Linked DNA regions of Oryzias latipes. The protein of the gene in region 3 purifies or fractionates together with the protein of the main gene of each other region. This does not show direct contact. Links are inferred from orthologs where the notes say so. Each region holds a gene or a part of one and is shown on either strand. Other genes may lie near its edges. The genes, in order: cep63, g3bp1, fxr1, tdrd3 and orc2.

The links.
Region 1: the proteins of fxr1 (region 3) and cep63 purify together in Homo sapiens (co-immunoprecipitation; 3 studies listed by BioGRID and IntAct, with this or other methods). This does not show direct contact. The link is inferred for Oryzias latipes from reciprocal best matches to the Homo sapiens genes FXR1 and CEP63.
Region 2: the proteins of fxr1 (region 3) and g3bp1 purify together in Homo sapiens (affinity purification with mass spectrometry; 3 studies listed by BioGRID and IntAct, with this or other methods). This does not show direct contact. The link is inferred for Oryzias latipes from reciprocal best matches to the Homo sapiens genes FXR1 and G3BP1.
Region 4: the proteins of fxr1 (region 3) and tdrd3 purify together in Homo sapiens (affinity purification with mass spectrometry; 3 studies listed by BioGRID and IntAct, with this or other methods). This does not show direct contact. The link is inferred for Oryzias latipes from reciprocal best matches to the Homo sapiens genes FXR1 and TDRD3.
Region 5: the proteins of fxr1 (region 3) and orc2 purify together in Homo sapiens (affinity purification with mass spectrometry; 4 studies listed by BioGRID and IntAct, with this or other methods). This does not show direct contact. The link is inferred for Oryzias latipes from reciprocal best matches to the Homo sapiens genes FXR1 and ORC2.

What each region holds. Positions count from the first base shown.
Region 1 is NC_019862.2:2,679,622-2,683,139, reverse strand, and holds part of cep63 (centrosomal protein of 63 kDa), read left to right. Parts: intron 1-1,031; coding exon 1,032-1,175; intron 1,176-1,609; coding exon 1,610-1,712; intron 1,713-1,795; coding exon 1,796-1,939; intron 1,940-2,093; coding exon 2,094-2,180; intron 2,181-2,272; coding exon 2,273-2,412; intron 2,413-2,475; coding exon 2,476-2,806; intron 2,807-2,874; coding exon 2,875-3,066; 3' UTR 3,067-3,518. UniProt on the Homo sapiens protein: Required for normal spindle assembly.
Region 2 is NC_019868.2:28,987,387-28,991,455, forward strand, and holds the start of g3bp1 (ras GTPase-activating protein-binding protein 1), read left to right. Parts: upstream 1-1,251; 5' UTR 1,252-1,378; intron 1,379-4,069. UniProt on the Homo sapiens protein: Protein involved in various processes, such as stress granule formation and innate immunity. Plays an essential role in stress granule formation.
Region 3 is NC_019862.2:18,754,726-18,758,725, forward strand, and holds the start of fxr1 (fragile X mental retardation syndrome-related protein 1), read right to left. Parts: upstream 2,809-4,000; 5' UTR 2,765-2,808; coding exon 2,714-2,764; intron 1-2,713. UniProt on the Homo sapiens protein: mRNA-binding protein that acts as a regulator of mRNAs translation and/or stability, and which is required for various processes, such as neurogenesis, muscle development and spermatogenesis.
Region 4 is NC_019861.2:15,652,720-15,656,237, reverse strand, and holds part of tdrd3 (tudor domain-containing protein 3), read left to right. Parts: intron 1-1,567; coding exon 1,568-1,633; intron 1,634-2,090; coding exon 2,091-2,251; intron 2,252-3,293; coding exon 3,294-3,435; intron 3,436-3,518. UniProt on the Homo sapiens protein: Scaffolding protein that specifically recognizes and binds dimethylarginine-containing proteins. Plays a role in the regulation of translation of target mRNAs by binding Arg/Gly-rich motifs (GAR) in dimethylarginine-containing proteins.
Region 5 is NC_019875.2:17,269,186-17,271,562, reverse strand, and holds the end of orc2 (origin recognition complex subunit 2), read left to right. Parts: intron 1-483; coding exon 484-630; intron 631-713; coding exon 714-885; intron 886-1,312; coding exon 1,313-1,374; intron 1,375-1,452; coding exon 1,453-1,571; intron 1,572-1,646; coding exon 1,647-1,730; 3' UTR 1,731-1,859; downstream 1,860-2,377. Other genes in the region: c17h21orf2 (protein C21orf2), read right to left, coding at 2,089-2,241, 2,332-2,377. UniProt on the Homo sapiens protein: Component of the origin recognition complex (ORC) that binds origins of replication. DNA-binding is ATP-dependent. The specific DNA sequences that define origins of replication have not been identified yet.

The DNA.
Region 1 (3,518 bases), about 16 Mb from region 3:
GACAAAGTTGTGCCCAACTTTGCAAAAAAATCGTATTACATTTAGTTTTACGTTTAACACGTCTGGCTTGAATACGACTTTTCTGTCAAAAGTAGGTCACGGGGTCACAGGCGTAAACATGAAGTCACGAAACATCGATACATCGATAAGTGTTCTGAAACTCAGTTATGAGACTAAAATGGAAAAGAACTTTTTAGAATGTTCCTGATCCCAGAACGGGGAAATTCTCTTGTAACCATAGCTCTGTAGAGAAAAAGCAGATCATAATAACGGGGATCTCCAGACACATTTTGCCGTTGCTAGGCAACAACAGCTGATCGAGTAAACAATGCACCGCAGATCGTTTCAGACCCAGAAGGGAGCAGCAGGAATGCCACTTATCTATGAAAAAAAAGAGAAGGATGGAACAAAACAAAATGAGCAGCGAAAGAAGGCTAACTAGCAGCTAACTAGCAGCTAACTAGCAGCTGACTAGCAGCTGACTAGCAGCTGACTAGCAGCTGACTAGCAGCTGACTAGCAGCTGACTAGCAGCCGACTAGCAGCTGACTAGCAGCCGACTATCGGGAGTTAAAAAAAACTGTCAGCAGAATCAGAAAACTAAACTTTCTTTCTGTATCTGGATACTTTTGCTGGCGTATAACATGAGTTGTTCTGTTTTCTCCACACACCCTAAATGTTTTGTATTGTTAATAAACTCCTCGTCTTGTGCTGATGACATCACTGCTGCCACAGGAAGGTTGGTGGCGATCACAGACGATCACTGATCTACGTTTACAGAACATGAATGAAGTGAAGGGAAAGAAGAAAAGCTGCTCCTCAGTGATTGTTCTCATTGCAGAGCCGTCTGGGTTTTCCTGACATTCTTCTAAATGATGTAATATTCAAATGAAAGAGAAGTTGGATTTAAAACAGACATGTCAAAATGTTGTACTTCTTTTTCAAAGTGTGCACAGCGTTCTCTAGAAACAGTCGTCTGACTCGGTAGAACGGCTCCATGTTGGTAACGGTTGCTGGGCTTTTGTGTGTCAGCTCTCTGGAGGACTGCCTGTCGGCTCAGGGCCTGGCTGGAGTGGAAAACCTCAGAGGAGATCTGGAGAAGTCTGCAGTCCAGCTGCAGTGTTCCCGGGCCTGCGAGGCTCACCTCAAGGCGGAGCTTAAACGCACCAGAGAGAGGTAAATGCTGCCAGTACTGCCGACTCCACCGTGTCCACCTGGACTGCAGATGGTTTCTACAAAAAACACAAAGACTTCTGGAAATGAGGAAAAAGTTCCGGTGAAATCCTCTTTACATCCGGATCCAGGAAGAAGTTATCCGTTTAGAGAGAAAACCAAGACCAGTGGATTTTTGCTCTTTCTAGAAGCAGCTAAACCAGCTGTTGAAATGAGGTTTCTGTCAGATTCTTTTGGAGCAGATGAGGATTTTGTGCAGCCCATCATGGAAACCTCCACGCTGCTGACTTCTGGATGTTCACTCTCAGCACCGCAGACATCCAGCATGGACAAAGCTGCTGACAAACCGTCTTTACAGTGAAGCAGACGTCTGGAATCAGACACGTGTTGTCTGGCTGCTGTTTTCTTCACATTATTCATCTGAGTTGTTCCTGCAGGCTGCAGGCTGTGAGCAGAGGCAGAGCTGATCGCTCAGAGACGGAGCAGGAAGTGGCCGGCCTCAAAGCACAGGTTGACTCTTCAGTTGCTGAAATGAAAAAGGTCCAAAGTCTCAGTCAAGCTAAACCTGTTTGTTGTTCATCTGTGGCCGTCATGCCTGTTTACCTCACTGTCGTCCACTGCAGCTGAGGGAGGAGCTTGAACTGGCCAGGCAGACCCACGCCGCTGAGGTTGAGGGGATGAGGGCGGAGGTTGCAAAGATGACCGGCGAGCTGCACCAGCGTGATCTGAGGATCGCCACGCTGAGCGGGGAGCGAGCAGAGCTCAGAGTGAGCTTGACCTCTGACTGCTGTGCAGCAATGACGTCTCAGTTTGTTCCTGAGCAGGAAGTTGCTTCTTGCATGAAGCATTTCTCTTGATCTGGGTCTGGGTTGCTCAGACATTGGATGGTTTCTCCTCACATTTTCTATATCCGTTTGTCAGATGACTTGGACCCAGCTGGAGACTCTGCAGAAGGAGAACCAGCATCTTCGTGACCTGCTGCAGAGACGGCAGCCTTCTTCACCAAAGGTCGCATGGTTCAGGCGTCCCCGACGCAGAGGACAGCGTCTCTGGAGCGTCTCCGGTGATCCAGTCGTAAATGTGCACTTCTGTATCCTCAGAGGGGAGAGGCCCCAGCAGCTTCACTGGGGGAGAAGCACACGGCCTCCAGAGGCAGGCCTGAAGAGGAGGATGGACAGTCGGAACAAACGGACCCTCGGCATCATGCCTCGGAGCAGACGTGCTTGGCTGCTCCTGCCAGGTGGGAGATGGCCGTCGATGATGTCTACTCACAGCTCCAGACTAACAAACCCTGTTCTCCCAGGCTTCAGATAGACACGCAGGCCGTGAGAGCCGAGGCCCCAGAATGCACCACTCACCGTGAGGGGGAGATCCAGAGGCTTTTTAAAGAGCTGCATGCTTTATCTATGTCCCCCAGAGAGCAGCACTGCAGCCAGGACCAAGACTACAGGCCTCCTGCTTCCTCCTCCTCCTCCTCCTCCTCCTCCAGCAGCACCAGTGCTGGACTGACTAGAAGAATCTCAATCCCGTCATCAAGTCCTGGTGAATTTGTTGAAGACAGGCAAAGCATAAGTCCTGGAAACTGTCTAAGCTCAGCATCTAGAGAAAGAAGAACTCTGTCTCCTACTTCAGAGGTGAGACTTCTCAGAATGTTGAACCAGCTCTGGTGTTTTTAGGATCCTCACAGGTTTTTGCCCCTCAGGAGCTTTCGTCACACGGCACACTGTCACATTTCCTGGAGGAGGAGAGCTTCAGGTCCAAGGAGCTGCTGCAGAGGCTGGACGCCCACATCCTGGGAATGAGGGAGATCAACCACAGAACCGTGTCCAAGTACGTGGACCGTGGCGTCAGGCCGGAGTGGGAGCAGACGTCCAGCGAGCGGACCCCTGTCTAATGACAGGGGGGCAACATTCTGACAGAGGCGGAAATCATGTCTCGACACGAGGGCCTCCTGGGGAACGCTTTCAGGAACGCCATCTTCACTGCAGAACAGCAAAATGACATAAACGCTTCAGTTTATTTCATTCTCACATCATCTCTTCAGGAGGAAGAAATGTGCAAGCCATGACGTTTCTGTCAGAAAAAGAAACTTCTAAATGTGATCTAAAGAACCTGGATGCTCCTCGTGGTTCGCTGGTTTCCATGGTGATTTGAAGAACTGTTCTCGTAGTCTTTAAGGGCTTAGAGAAGACATGGTGTAGCCAAACGGCAGATTCTGGCATTTTGCTCACGAAAAGAACAAACTTTAGCTTCTGAAAGCTCTCAGGATGCTGCATGGATCAGAGCTTTCAGGAGAGCCTCCATCCTTCCTGTTGCTACCCCCCCCACTGAAGCCCCCCAGCTTTT
Region 2 (4,069 bases), on a different chromosome or scaffold from region 3:
TGTCAGCCTCCATCTTATCTGTTAAACTGAAACCGTTGTTTGCACATTTCCCAGCCTCTTTTTTTAAATTTACCACCAGCTTCAATTATCTGCAGACGGTTCAGCATTTAAGCCAAAGCCACCACATCCATCATCTGCGTCTGAGTGCTGCCTGATTCTGTTTGCTGTCTGTAGGAGCTGTGCAACATCTCAACCAGTCTAACCTTCAATGTTAGGAGCTCCGGCATTCCTTCCCCCATTCAAGACCCAACACTCCAGGTTTTATTCGTTTTCACAAATAAACCCCATGTGTGTTTTTCCCCCATCATTTGAAGAGTATAAATGTTTAAAACGTCTTCCAAACAGTGGGAAAAGTAACCTTTTAGGGCTGCAGCAAACCTGTGCCGAACATGCAGTCCTCTCAGAGCAAACGGCATCCGGCAGCGACCGCTCACAGCTGCTCGTGGTCCCCTGGGAGACGGCAGAGGGAGAGACGCAGCACCCAGTTACCATCTGTACCTGCTCATCCAGCCCTCAGCAGCAAGAATGCACAGCGGCGTGAACCCAGCGTGCCCCAGCAGGAAAAACTCCCCCTGACTCTGACAGAGGAAACAACGGAAGACATCTGTAATTTAATATCAGCTCTTTTTTTTTTTTAAGCTGATGTCTCTGTGCTGACATCATGACAGCCATATTGTGGTTTGAGGCTCAAACATCTGCAGCAGTTTAGTCATGGGATCAGTAGCTCTATGTGTTTAGTTTGTCTTTTTAAAAGATGACTAAAAAGATGAACTTTTCTTTTTCTTTAGTGCACTACACGTTTTTCTTTAGTGCACTACAGGAGCAGACATTTTTCCAGTCTGCTCTGACTGTCTGCAGTCATTTCAGTCTCAATGGCGTTACATTTACCCACCTGCTTATTTTAAAGCTAAAGCACTCTCGCATTCGAACCCCTTTGATTGATGACGGTGGATAATTCTGGATGAAAAATTCACGGCGACCTAAAATCACTGATTCTGAACGCATTTGTCGCCTCCACGCGGTGGACAGCCGCTGGTGCACATCTGTGTAGAGAATCTGCCGGGATACGCCTGTCGGTATAACCATCGCACCCTCTGCCACCGCCGCGCGGTGGTTGGCTCCCTTGGAATAGAGGGAGCTTCGCGATTGGCTGGATGCGCGGGAGGCTTGCCATTCTCTCACCCCATTGGTCAGCGGGTCGTGGATGCGTCATTTCATTGGCTGAAGCTTCTTTATACGGAGGGACGTCAGATTTGGCTGCGGAGGTGAAACCGGTACCCGGGCTCTACAGCACGCCGCGAAGCCGCGCCAGCGCCTCGTCGAAGTCCATAGATTAAAAAATATATTTATACATTTTCCAAAAACTATTGACTCATTGGTAAGTTTTAATGTCAAACCTACTGTTTGAATCCAGGCAGAAAGTGAAACTAGAATGAAAATAGGATTAACGTGGTGGCTCATCCGGGCTCCATCTACATCCTGATGTTAGCTTCCTTTGACATTGTCGCGCGGTCTATAGACGGACGCGCTGAAATCCGATTTAAACGTTTATACTTGCTTTTTAATCGCGATCAGAAGTCCGGAATGGGTTTTTTCCGACATATGTATGAAATTGTTGCTGTTACAAATCACCCACGACGGCTTGGTTTTACTCTGAGCTGCAGGAATTAGCCGCAGCCCTCGTTAGCACACCCCCCCCCCCCTCTGGTTTTTCCAGCTTTCTTTCCTTATTTTTCGTGGGGTAAATTCACCTTTTCCCTAAACAGAGTTAGCTTCGTTTCTACGCGTCTTTGGATGTTAAAAGCGTCATTTTGTGGCCTCGGCGTCGGGATCGGAGCGTGGACGAGCACCGCCCGGGACACGTGCTGGGGCTGCTGAGCGCCCCCCCCCCCCCCCCCCCCCCCCGTCAGAATTCGTCTTTTGGGGTTGGTGGGCCCGTCCAGCTGTCCCGGATTAGATCGGAATGGACCAGGACAGCGCACGACACGTGAATCCCGGTTAAATTTGTCAAGGCCTCGGGGGCGCGTGTCAGCGCGGTCCCGGAAAGAGAGCGCGCGGGTCGGCCGTTTCCGTCGCCGTTCCCGCGGCGTGGTCTTTGTCTGCGGGCCGCGCGTGCAGATCTCCACGCACTTCTGCGGAAGCACGTTAAATGATTGGTCCCGTCTATGTTAGGCCCCTCGCGGATCAGACCCGCGTGACTGCGGGAGCTCCCGGGCCGTTCCGTGTTAAAAATGGCAGATGGCTGTTGGCCGTGAGAACAGATGTCAAAGTGGCTCGTGGCCTTCTGGGCTCAGAGCTTCACCTTTCCCTTCCAGGTCCTCCAAGCCAACAGTTTCCGGTTCTGTCAGCAGAACCTCTGGTGTATTTGAACCCAGATCCGCTTTATGGTGCTGAACTGAAGTGGGAAGAGAAGAATGTGCGTCTGTGGCGGCACGTCTGCTCCCTGAACCGTCCCTCCTGGTTTGTCCGTGAAACCCACTTGACAGAATAGAAGATCAACATCTTCTGATTGGCTGATCCCTCCTGATCCAGGATCATGGCCATGTGCAAAACATCAGGAATATCCTGGAAACCCGGAAGAACCCGTCACTGCCGGGGGGGTCAAACCCTGTAGAATCGTGAAAGCGCTTCCAGGTTCAAGTGGGGATGTATTAAACCCAAAGAACTGTTCAATTAGAGAATCCGGTTTCATCAGGGCAAGATGATCTAATCCACTTGCAGATGAACTCTGGTGTGGTTCACTTCAGTGTAAATGCAAACTGATCGTCCTCTGATTATGGAGAGGCAGGAAGGTTCACTTCTGGCTCAAACCCATTGAAGGAATTCCAGTCGCCTTCTTGTTGTCTTTTTGTGAAACGGACGGCGCCATGTTGGAGGCAGACGTAGAGTTGATCTGAATTGATCGGTGTTTCTATGGCAACCACTCTAAGTGTCAGACTCCAGGCCTCGTTGGCCTGTGTCCCACATGTCTTCCCATCAACTTGAAATTGAAGCTCCTTATTGGCTAAACACACCTGATTTCTGAAAAACCTGCTGGATAACGGCCCTTAAGGCCTGCAGTCTGACTCCAATCAGGAGTGAGCTTGTTGGAAGGCCACGCCCCCACCCATGAAAGCAGGCTTCTTTGGTTTGTGGTTTTGGGATCCCATTTGAAAGATCCTGGTCCATCCTCCATAACATGTAGAAATTCTGGTGACACTTTTCTTTTAGTGAGAAAATAACGACACATTTCTGCTATCTGGTACACATGTATTACATTTATAGGCTTTTTCTACAGAGGAGGATTTCTCTCTTTGGTGTTGAAATTTGCTGATTCAGACTGCGGCTGCTGGTTGCATGATGCTGGAGGATGGTCTCTAACCTCATTCCACATCAGACGGGGGGGGGGGGGGGGGGGGGCATTGTTACTGCACTCGTCCCCTTCCTGGGAAATCATGGCTAATGCTCGCGTAAACAAGAATAAATGCCTCATCTGCAATACTTAAACATTTTTCTTATTTTCTATTCAACGGTTGCCATGGCGTCCAAATACACAATCTGAAACATCTGGGGGGGGGTTTCCCCCTCGTGTTGTGGACCTGGAGCCGTTTCCTGGATCCGAAGTGACTTCAGAACCGTCGCTCACTCAGTCACAGGTTTCGGTTGGTGTGACATTGATCACTCTGGATGAACGTCAGCGATGAAATTCTTTTGTTCTGCTACCTTTGCTAATAAAGGTTTGTTTGAAATTCTCTACTACATTTGAGTGGGAAGCTCGTGTTGCACCTTTTTTCAGAAGTTTCCCCACATTTGGTTGATTAGGGTTTTGTAAGTTGTCGCCAGAGCAACAGAAACATTAGCTAAAGATGAGTCATTTTGCAGCAGTTGTTTAACTTTCCATTTCACGCTCGCTTTGTCCACCCAACGCTTGTTGCCCCCATGCTGCCGTTGGTTCTTGTGGGCGTGGCAGACATCAGCTGTGAACCATGAGATTCTTTTTAGAGGTTCATTGGTCGCTGGGGAGGGCTGTGGGGCTCCCCCCCGCCTGGATAACCACCGCAGCTCAGACGCTCCCTTCTGTTCTTTCTCT
Region 3 (4,000 bases):
TCCGATCATAGGTCAACCGCCCTACCACTGGACCACAGTCGCCATTAACGCCACATGAATGGTGAGATTTTGGGCAAAGTCGTCCTTCCATCAACATCATAATTGACTATTAAATATATCTGGATCCATCGGCCTGTCAATGCCAAACACGTGGCCCAGGCAATAAAGGAGTGGCTATGTAAAAAGTATCTCAACGTTCTGGAGTGGGTTAGTCCAATAGACCCAACCCAATACAGAATCTTTGGAATGAGTTGAAAGTCTTTGTTGCACAGTGACAGCCCCAGAACATCACAGCTCTTGAGAAGATCTACACTGACAAAATGTGTATAAATATCAGCTACAGTGCTTACCAACCTGCAGAAGACCTACAGGAAACATTTGATATCCATCATTGATAACAGGATTACAAAAAGCATTGAGGTGAACTTATGACTTTTCTCATCTTTTTAAGAGGGACAACTTGCTCCCAACTACCAAATAAGTTTTTGCCTCACTGTACATAGTCCAAACTTCTGAGAACAGTCCTCCCATTTGTTAAAAATATCCTTACCAGAAACCCAGTTCAGTATACCTATTGGAAATGACAAGCTGACATTGAATCACTAGCTTAACATTTATCTTGTGTTATGTATGGGTTAACAGACTTATCCAACTGTTATTTCATGAGTGGTCAATGATTCCCCTTATGGTCATGTAATGATCAGGTGTGGTGCAGTTCCAGCTCCTATAGCAGAACTTACCATGAACTTTTGTTCAAAAATAGTTTCATTTTTTTCCTTGCCTTTCTTTATGCTAATCAGCATCTGTTTTTATATTATTATTAGATTATCATAGAAAATGCAACAGATATGTATGTTTCCTCTAGATTCAAAACTTAGCTTTATAAAGTGGTTTTAAGCATTTGCCTAAACCATGATGTGCAGACACTATCTAGATCTTCCAGTAAAGAAAAGTAATAAACCATAGGGTAGACCGAAGGGTTTCGTTGAAGTGAAAAAAATGTAACAAGCTGTTTATCCCCTTAATCTTCACATTTTACTATCAGAGAAGACATTTACAGGCTCACAAAAACTACAAATGCCATAAAGTTACATAGAGACTTCTAAATTTTAACTTAGGATAAAAGGACATCAGTTAAACAAAAAAACGCAAGAAATATCCGAACAAAGTAATAATGGTAAACCTTAAATTCTGAATAAAATCTATTTATGACCCTTCTCACTGTTTTGACTTGTTCAGATTAACATCAATGTTACCAATCAGCTTCCCTACAATATCCAGGTAAAGAGTAAACACGTTTCTAATTTCTTTTTTTTAGTCTAACTGACAATCAAAGGCACATGGAGATGCTCAGAGGGTGCTTGATGGGACTTCAAGATATTTAAATTTACCCAAATGTCCCTCTTCCTTTGTTAGTTTGCTTAATATTTTGAAGGCATGATAAAACTCAAGAAAGTAACTGTTGCATGCTCACTCTTCTATCATTACATAGTTAACTCTGGGCTGGGTCTAAATAAACTTGAATTTGTCCCGACTCAAATGAATCTAAAAGTCATTTAAAAAAACACTTTAAAATGATATAATGGGACCACTACTTCACTTTTTTTCCACTTACTGTTTACAGACTAACACCACAACTTACAATCTATCGCTTATGTTTTCACTTCTTTCTTTTCAGAGTTCAGAAAGTCCCTACACAAGTATAAAAGGAGTCGAGTTACAATTAAATAAATAAATAAATAAAAAACTTGTTTTGCAACATCTATAGTGAAATCAAAACCCATTCTAATTATTATTCCTAGGAGATATTTGGAATCACAGTAACAAAACTCACAAAACATACCCACAGTTGCTTGGTTTAGCTGTAATTTACTCAAGTGAAACTATTTTAGCATGTAGTGTTGGTTTACAAAGTGGCCTGGCAAAAAGAAAACATGTTAAACATTATGCTAGTAGTAGTAAGAAATTAAAATAGTAGATGGGGGGGAAAGGATGATGAAAAAGGAGACATGGAAGGAAGAAAAGGGGAGACTTTGGTGCCACTTCAGATTGCAGGACTATAAATACACTGTAATTCTTTGAAATGAGCGACCCTCTCCCAGCATGCCAGCTGCTCAGGATTGACAAGGAACAGCTGACTCGCATACGCAGAAATAGTAAAGATAGCTTGGGCATGATACAGTCTCAGTGAATGAACAGTGGCAGACAAGTGTGAAGAAGTACGCCACGTGCATAGAAAACCTAACGTCGAGATTTCAAATCCCTAATATGTACATTTAACAAACTCATCACGTCCTTATGTTCCATGGAGTAAAAAGCCCTTTAGCAACCGAACTAGGGCAAGAACCTACCTGACGTCAACAGAATTACCAGTGAGCTAGTAAGCTAACTTTAGCTTACGAAAACCCGAAGAAAAAGTCCATTGTGTGTTAAAAGATACACTATAAAACAAGTCAGCTGTCTTACAAAACGGATTATGCTTTCTGGATTTGATTATAGTCAATATAATAATCATAAATAACGAATGTTCACAATCATCGACGTTAGCCTAGCCTGCTAATTTTGGCTAACTCTGCTAAAGGCTTACAGCAAGCAGCTGGATGAATTTAGAGGAAGATGGGACACGTAATCAAGTCCAATGAACTTAGGTTATCATAGTAAACAATTTGTGAAAGACAGAAGGTCAAAGGTGCACGGATGCCCCGGTATTTACCTTGTAATAAGCGCCGCGAGAGCCACGGACCTCCACCGCCAGTTCTTCCATATTGGATACGCAAAGGATGCTGGGTCGACAGGTGTTCCATCAAGCCTGAGGTTTGAAGTTTGGGCCAACACCTGTCCTTTCGCGTTTTTGTGGGCAGATACTCCCAACTTTAAAATTATTAACTTACAGCCAAATTACATTTTTGGGTTACTGTTTGTGAAAAGGATCAACAAGGTTTTGGACGATTTGTTGTCCTGTTTTTTTTTTTTGTTTGTTTGTTTTTTAATGTTAGAAAGCTACATTGCTGTGTTTTATTTAAGTAATTTTAGTGATGAAGCAATACAATAAAATAGATCTATTATTTAGTGTGAAATTTTATGCAGATTGTAATATAGCTAGATATAAAAAAAATTTTTTTAAAGCCATTATTGGACTAGCTAATTTGCTTAAGTATTTAGTATTTTGAAATTTTGTATTTCTTTTCACCTACACTCATCAGGATCCAAATCTTTAATACAACAGAATGATGTGGTTCAGTCTAGTATCTTGCATTAAAAAAAGGCTGTAAACACAGCAGGCTTACAGCTTTGATCAGCATCAACTGCACTAAAGAATACTAGAACACAGACTGGAAATTTGATCAATTCTTTATTGTGTGCTTTCTGATTTCAGCTTAGAGACTGTGCATTATAAACAGTGGTGAACAAAATTGTTGGTACCCCTCAGTTAAAGAAAGAAAGCCCACAATGCTCACTGAAATGACTTGAAACGTTCAAAAGTAACAATATATTAAAATTTGTTGAAAATTAAATAATCAAAATCAGCCATTGCTTTTGAGTCGTTGATTAATAGAATTATTTAAAAAAACAAACTAATGAAATAAGGCTGGACAAAAATGATCGTACCCATAACTCGATATTTTGTTGCACAACCTTTTGAGGCAATCACTGCAATTAAACAGTTTCTGCATTTGTCAATGAGCCTTCTGGACCTGTCCACAGGTATTTTGGCCCACTCCTCATGAGCAAAGTGCTCCAGTTGTCTCAGGTTTGACGGGTGTCTTCTCCAAATGGCATGTTTCAGCTCCTTCCACAGATGTTCAATGGGATTCAGGTCTGGGCTCATAAAACCATCTCTAAGCAGCTTGAAGTTCCTGTGACGACAGTGGCACATATTATTCAGAAGTTTAAGACCCACGGGACAGTAGCCAACCTCCCTGGACGTGGCCGGAAGAGGAAAATTGAAGACTAATTGAGGAGACGGATAGTTGGAACTGTATCCAAAGAGCCCAGAACA
Region 4 (3,518 bases), on a different chromosome or scaffold from region 3:
TTGGAGAGGTGGGGGTGTGTGGACGTTGTTCAGAAGGAAGTGTTATCGTCTTTCAGTCAGAAAGTTTCTGTATTGATCCCTCCCTTCGGCTTTAGTGTCCTTGGGCACTGCATCCCGTTTTGGCCCCTTCTTAAAACGTTTATAACATGAGAGTCCCTATGAAATGAATATCCAATTTCATTCCTGACATTCTTGATGTTCATCTGCTTACATTGGTTTGCATTCAGAAATGAAATTTACTGAACTCCAGCTTCTTTTCTCTAATAATGTATATTAAAAACATTTTAATGCTGCAGTTTCATACTTTTTACATTGTAATGACATAATAAAATAATTGACATAACAATTTCCTTTAAAGCTCTCTACATAGTCATGTGCAGCCTGCCTGAAGAGATCAAAACCCAAGGTAGAGGTTGAATTATTAGTGACGAAGCTGCTTATTTACCTGATGTCTTTTTCTTTTCACTAGATTATCAGTAATTAGATTAAAAAGTCTGAATGTACAGCCTTTAGTGGACATGGATTGACTTGAACTTTCTGTGAACAAAGGCGCTTTAATGTGACAGAGGAAGTTAGTCAATCATTCATGCTGTGCCTCCCGCGGATCAAGAAGGAGATGTCTGAAAACGCTGCAGGCCGTCCGACTCACTGCAGTGCGCTGCATCTGCTCCCCAATATATCTACGTCCGGCCTTTGGGTTGTGTGTGTTTAGTTGAGATGTTGAGTCAGCAAACTACTTCTCCCTTTAAATGCTTAATTAAACTGAGGGCTTTAAGGAATTGGTGGCGTTTCGTGCTGAAATATCAAAACGTAAGGGTTTCTTGTTAGTGTGATCTCATCAATAATGATGTTCTGGAGTGTCATTAATGGATCCCGGTTCTCCTTGGTTCTGCTCTTCTCAAATGTACTGGCTTGTTCTGTCACATGAAGAAGTGACAGGAATACTTCCCCCAAGTGACAGCTCATGCAGAGCAGCATTATGTTGGTGGTGATGATGATGATGATGATGATGATGATGAGAGCTTCACGTTCGCTCTGCACTCTGTCACTCAGGCATGATGGAAAAGAATCCATGTGCACACACACGTTTGCCTTTCATCAGTTGACTGATTTAGCAAATAAATGACAGCTGATTAAACTAAAGCAAAAAACAAAAACTAGATTGATGTTTTCTAGTAGAATCGGTGCGATTATTTACTTAATTAAATTATACATTTTGCATACATTGCCGGCTGTGGGGGGTGAAATGACTATGATATTTATATTGTATTTCAGCATTCTTGATATTTTTAACACATTCCTTTGGCATTTTTCTAAATATATAGGTTAGATATTAAGAAAATTAAGCTCAAAATTGCATATGTGAGAATTTCTTTCAAAGTATCTCATGTAATTATTTAAGTGAAAAACTGTAAGAAGCTTGAATGAGAATGATTGGTTTGGTTAAATCTACTCAGAACTCCTTCCTTCAATTTAGTGTCAATTTTCAAGAACTGTTAATATCCACAAATTGAAATATAATGTTTTGTTCGTGCATTTTTGTTATACTGTTGTTATTCCCTTGCAGACGGATCTTAGGCCTATCGGAAGCAAGATTTTACCATCTGATATCAACAGTGGAAAAACAGAGAAGGTAGGAAGAAAGAAATCTTGCAGAAAATGAAAACTGTGTTAAGCTGTAGTTCTCAGGATCACCACTAGATGGTGATGACACTCTGCCAAATGATCATGAAAAAAATGGTGGACCTTTTACTAAAACTGAAGGTGGTCATCTTAAAACACAACAAATTATGATTAGTTTTGTTTTCTTTATCCTGGAATTGCTTTGCACGCTTATTCGACTTTGTTTTTATGTGAGCACAAACTTAAAAATAATAAAAAAATCATGGCTTAAGGCAGTAATTCTGCACTGATAGGTAACGAAATAGTTTAACAGGCAAACGCTAAGGGTAACGTATACAAACATACTATTTTTATTGAAAAAGGTAAAAATGTTATCCATTTTCTACTGTATTCGGCTTCCTTGTAACTTGTGTTGCTGGCGTGTCTGCTTTATAATCGATCCTTCTTTGTCTGTTGCACATGGCTAGCTGGAGGGCCCATGTGTTCTCCAGGTACAAAAGGTGAGAAACATCTCAGCCCCCAAAGACAACGAGGAGTCCCAGGGTGCACCGCGGATGCTGCGCCTACAGATGACAGATGGGCACACCACCTGTGTCGGATTGGAGTTTAAACATCTGTCCAAGATTAGGTATGCTGCATATTTGAACAAACGAGGAGTACAGTTAAATGCAGCTGTCAGGGCAGTCATCACTGGTTAAAAGGGTTAAAAATCATACTTATTCTACAAATGGCTAATTGCTAAATAAACGGCATGATGTTTGGTACGCAGATCCTGGGGCATTTAGCCAGCTTTTATATTTAGAGCTAGCGTGCTAATTGCGAGCACACTCTGCTCTGACACCCTGTCAGCGCTCTCACCGCACCACACGCCTGGATTGTTTTCCCTTTATCTGCAATTTCCACGTAGTGGCAGCTGATCTAGCTGCTCCCGGCCTTAATTACATCTCCATCCAAGCAGTGGTGGCCTTGGTGATGGCTGCCATGGTGACTCTCTCCAGCCTGTACAGGTGGAGTGGCCAGAATGTGGGTGTTGACTTCCTGCTGGGATGAGAGGAGAAAACCGAACAAATCCCCTCTTTATGAGCGGCGCACACACACAGACTCACACACACTGGCAGCCAACAACAGTGGTTTGTGTTTATTGCTTAAAGTGTCTGTAAGCGCGTGGAAAAGGGGATGAAGGACTTGAAGAAAGTCAACTATTAGGTTGCAAGTTGAATAGCATGTTTGTCTGTAGTTGAGAGAAAAACAACAACCAGTGTCTCATTTCTGCACTTGCCTCCATCAAGAGAACACTTTCTATCCCAAAGGTTAAGAGCAAAATCTGTAATTGTTCCTTTGGCTTCCTGCATCAGGATCTGGAAATCCCTCTAAGTCTCAGTGGTTTCCTAATGAGACAGGCAGAGGCCTTATCAGGCCTGATGAGATAGAGGCGCTTTTAATTTACCATGAGGATGGGGGAGCAGCTGGGATTATTAATGGTCTCTTCTAGCCGTGCCACCCATCTGCTGACAGAGCTTCATGCCTCATGTCATTTAGAAAGTGCTATCAGGAAGGCAATGGGATGTTTTTGCCGTTTTTTTAATGTGTGAGAATCACGCTTTAAAAAGAGTTTGTGTTGCTTTGCTAAAACATGTCTTATTTAAGCATTGTTTTGTTGTCCTTTTCAGTCTGAATACACCCCCCGGAACAAAGGTGAAGCTTCTTGGTACAGTCCAGGTTAAAAATGGTTGTTTGCTTCTTGAAGATTCAAACATCTTAGTCCTTGGAGGAGAAGTTGAGCACATGGTGGAGAAATGGGAGCTCCAAAGGGTGAGATTGTTTTTTTTTTGGCTTAAAAGACAATATCTAATTTTAGCAATCATTGCTCTTTTTATTTCATTTGGGCTTACATA
Region 5 (2,377 bases), on a different chromosome or scaffold from region 3:
TGCCTAAAGAAACCCCCACTCCGATGTTTTTAACATGTTCTTGTGGCATTTTTCTCATGATGGAGGACATATATAAAGAAAATTAGGCTTAAAATTGCATTGTATTTTTTTCATTTAAATTGTTGTGAATCAGAAGAAAAGCTTATTTGTGGCATGAAAAATACGCTGGGCGGGCCACAAGCCCCTGTTCTCTGAGCTCTCAGCATAATGGGTAGGTGAAGGGGGGCGGGGTTGGTATGCCAACAGTCTCACCCACAACTCAGAGGTGAAATTCTAAAGAACTTCTTCCGCTCTTCAGAAACTATGTTCTAGTAAACAACACAGGTTTTGGATTTTAGCTAAAAACCCATAATCAAAATTTAAATTCTTTGGGGGGGGGGGGGAACTACTGGGAACACTGAAAATAGCTCAAAAGATGATCGGAGTGGGTCTTTAACTCTTTTTTTCAAAAAATTTTTTAACTACACTGATGTGTATTCACAGGTCCAGATCTTCACTTGTATTTGCTAATTCACAACATCGATGGACCAATGTTACGAGGAGAAAAGACCCAGAGTGCACTGGGGCAGCTGGCGTCCCTGTCCAACTTGCACCTGGTGGCTTCTTTAGACCACATCAATGCTCCTTTAGGTGGGTGCTTGTAAGGACTCATGCTGTTGGAGTAACCCCGCACAATAAAAAGTCATGGTAGCTCAACGTTTTCTGTCTTCTAGTGTGGGACCAGTTTAAGGTGAGCCAGTTTAACTGGCTGTGGTGGGAGTGTGTGACGTTCCAGCCCTACGCAGAGGAGACGTCGTACGAAAACTCTCTTCTGGTGCAGCAGACCGGCGCTCTGGCTCTGTCTTCCCTCACACATGTGCTGCGCAGCCTGACGCCCAACGCACGGTACTGCCCACAACAATATACGGTCACCCTTTTTTCCTGATATGGGCACCACCATATTGAAGCCAGATGACATCAGTAAGCAGCGATTGGAATCCAAGTTTCTATGGCAACCACTCTCACCATATAGGAGTGAGCTTGTTGGAAGGCCACGCCCCTACCACTCGAAAGTTGGTTTGGGTGAATCTGTCAATATAGGATTTTGAACATTTGACGTTGAGACCACATACCTTTAATGAGGCATCTGATTGGCCAGTTTATTAACTGAATAACATGAACTACATAAAAAAAAGTACCAGATCAATAATGTTAATTCTAACAAATAGAATGACTGATTAATAGCTGTTTATTTCTCTATACAATGTTCACACCTCAAACCAGTTTGGGGGCTTCTTTTGGCTTTGTGTCTTCATGTCCCTTCTCTTTACAGAGGAATCTTCAGACTGCTCGTAAAGTTTCAACTGGAAAACAAAGACAACCCTTTGTATACAGGTGTTTAAAAAAAGAGTATATTAAAAACTGTTTTCTTCCTAAATTGCATTTGAAATACATTTTTTGTGGTGTGTGCAGGATTTTCCTTCCAAGATTTCTACCAGCGTTGTCGAGAGGCGTTCCTGGTGAACTCTGATCTGACTTTGAGGACTCAGCTGACCGAGTTCAGGGACCATAAACTGATCAGGACACGCAAGGTGAACTCCTTTTCATAGGTCTTCTGAACTCTCATAGTACATCGCTTTTCTGACCTCGGTGACATCATCCTCCAGGGCGCAGATGGAGTAGAGTACCTGACTGTCGCTGTGGATGCCAGCACTTTGATGGACTTCCTGGAGAACGAGGAGGGGGACTGAGGATCTGATCTGTGGACAGAAGCTTAAGTCCATCGGAACAAGCTTAAATGATGTCAAGGATTTAGTACCACCACTTTTCACTTTGTAAACTAATTAATTCAGATAAATAAAAGCTCAATTTATAGGTAATTTTATTGCTGTTATTTTTCCTCTTTAATTACAGAAATAAATGTATACATTTTGAAAAAAACATGCATAATTTTTTCCCATAAGGCTAGGTACACATGCAGAAATAAAAGTTAAAATTCTATTATAGAAAAGCTGAGGAATGTCATCCTGTGCACATTTTCTGTTTCAAAGTCCTGAGTTTTACATTCCAATGCGTTTTGGAGCTGAATGCATGCCGTTATCGTGAGTTCTAGTGCGTTTCTGTGTGGGCTGTGAGTGGCTGAGCCTCTCCTGAGCCCAGTGTGTAGGTCTGCAGCCTGTTCAGCGTGGCTGTGTGAACGATCCGAAGCTCCTCTTCATCCAGATCCCTCAGCAGGAGCAGAATCGCATCCACTGTGTGAGTCTGAAAATGCAAAGATGGCGCTAGTTAGAATAAAACTTCATGTAACATCAGCACGATGAGTTTTACTGCAGCGATGCTAATAGCAGCTACCCTTCTCATTGTTGGTTTTTCTCTGGTTGACGGAGAACAAGGAGAG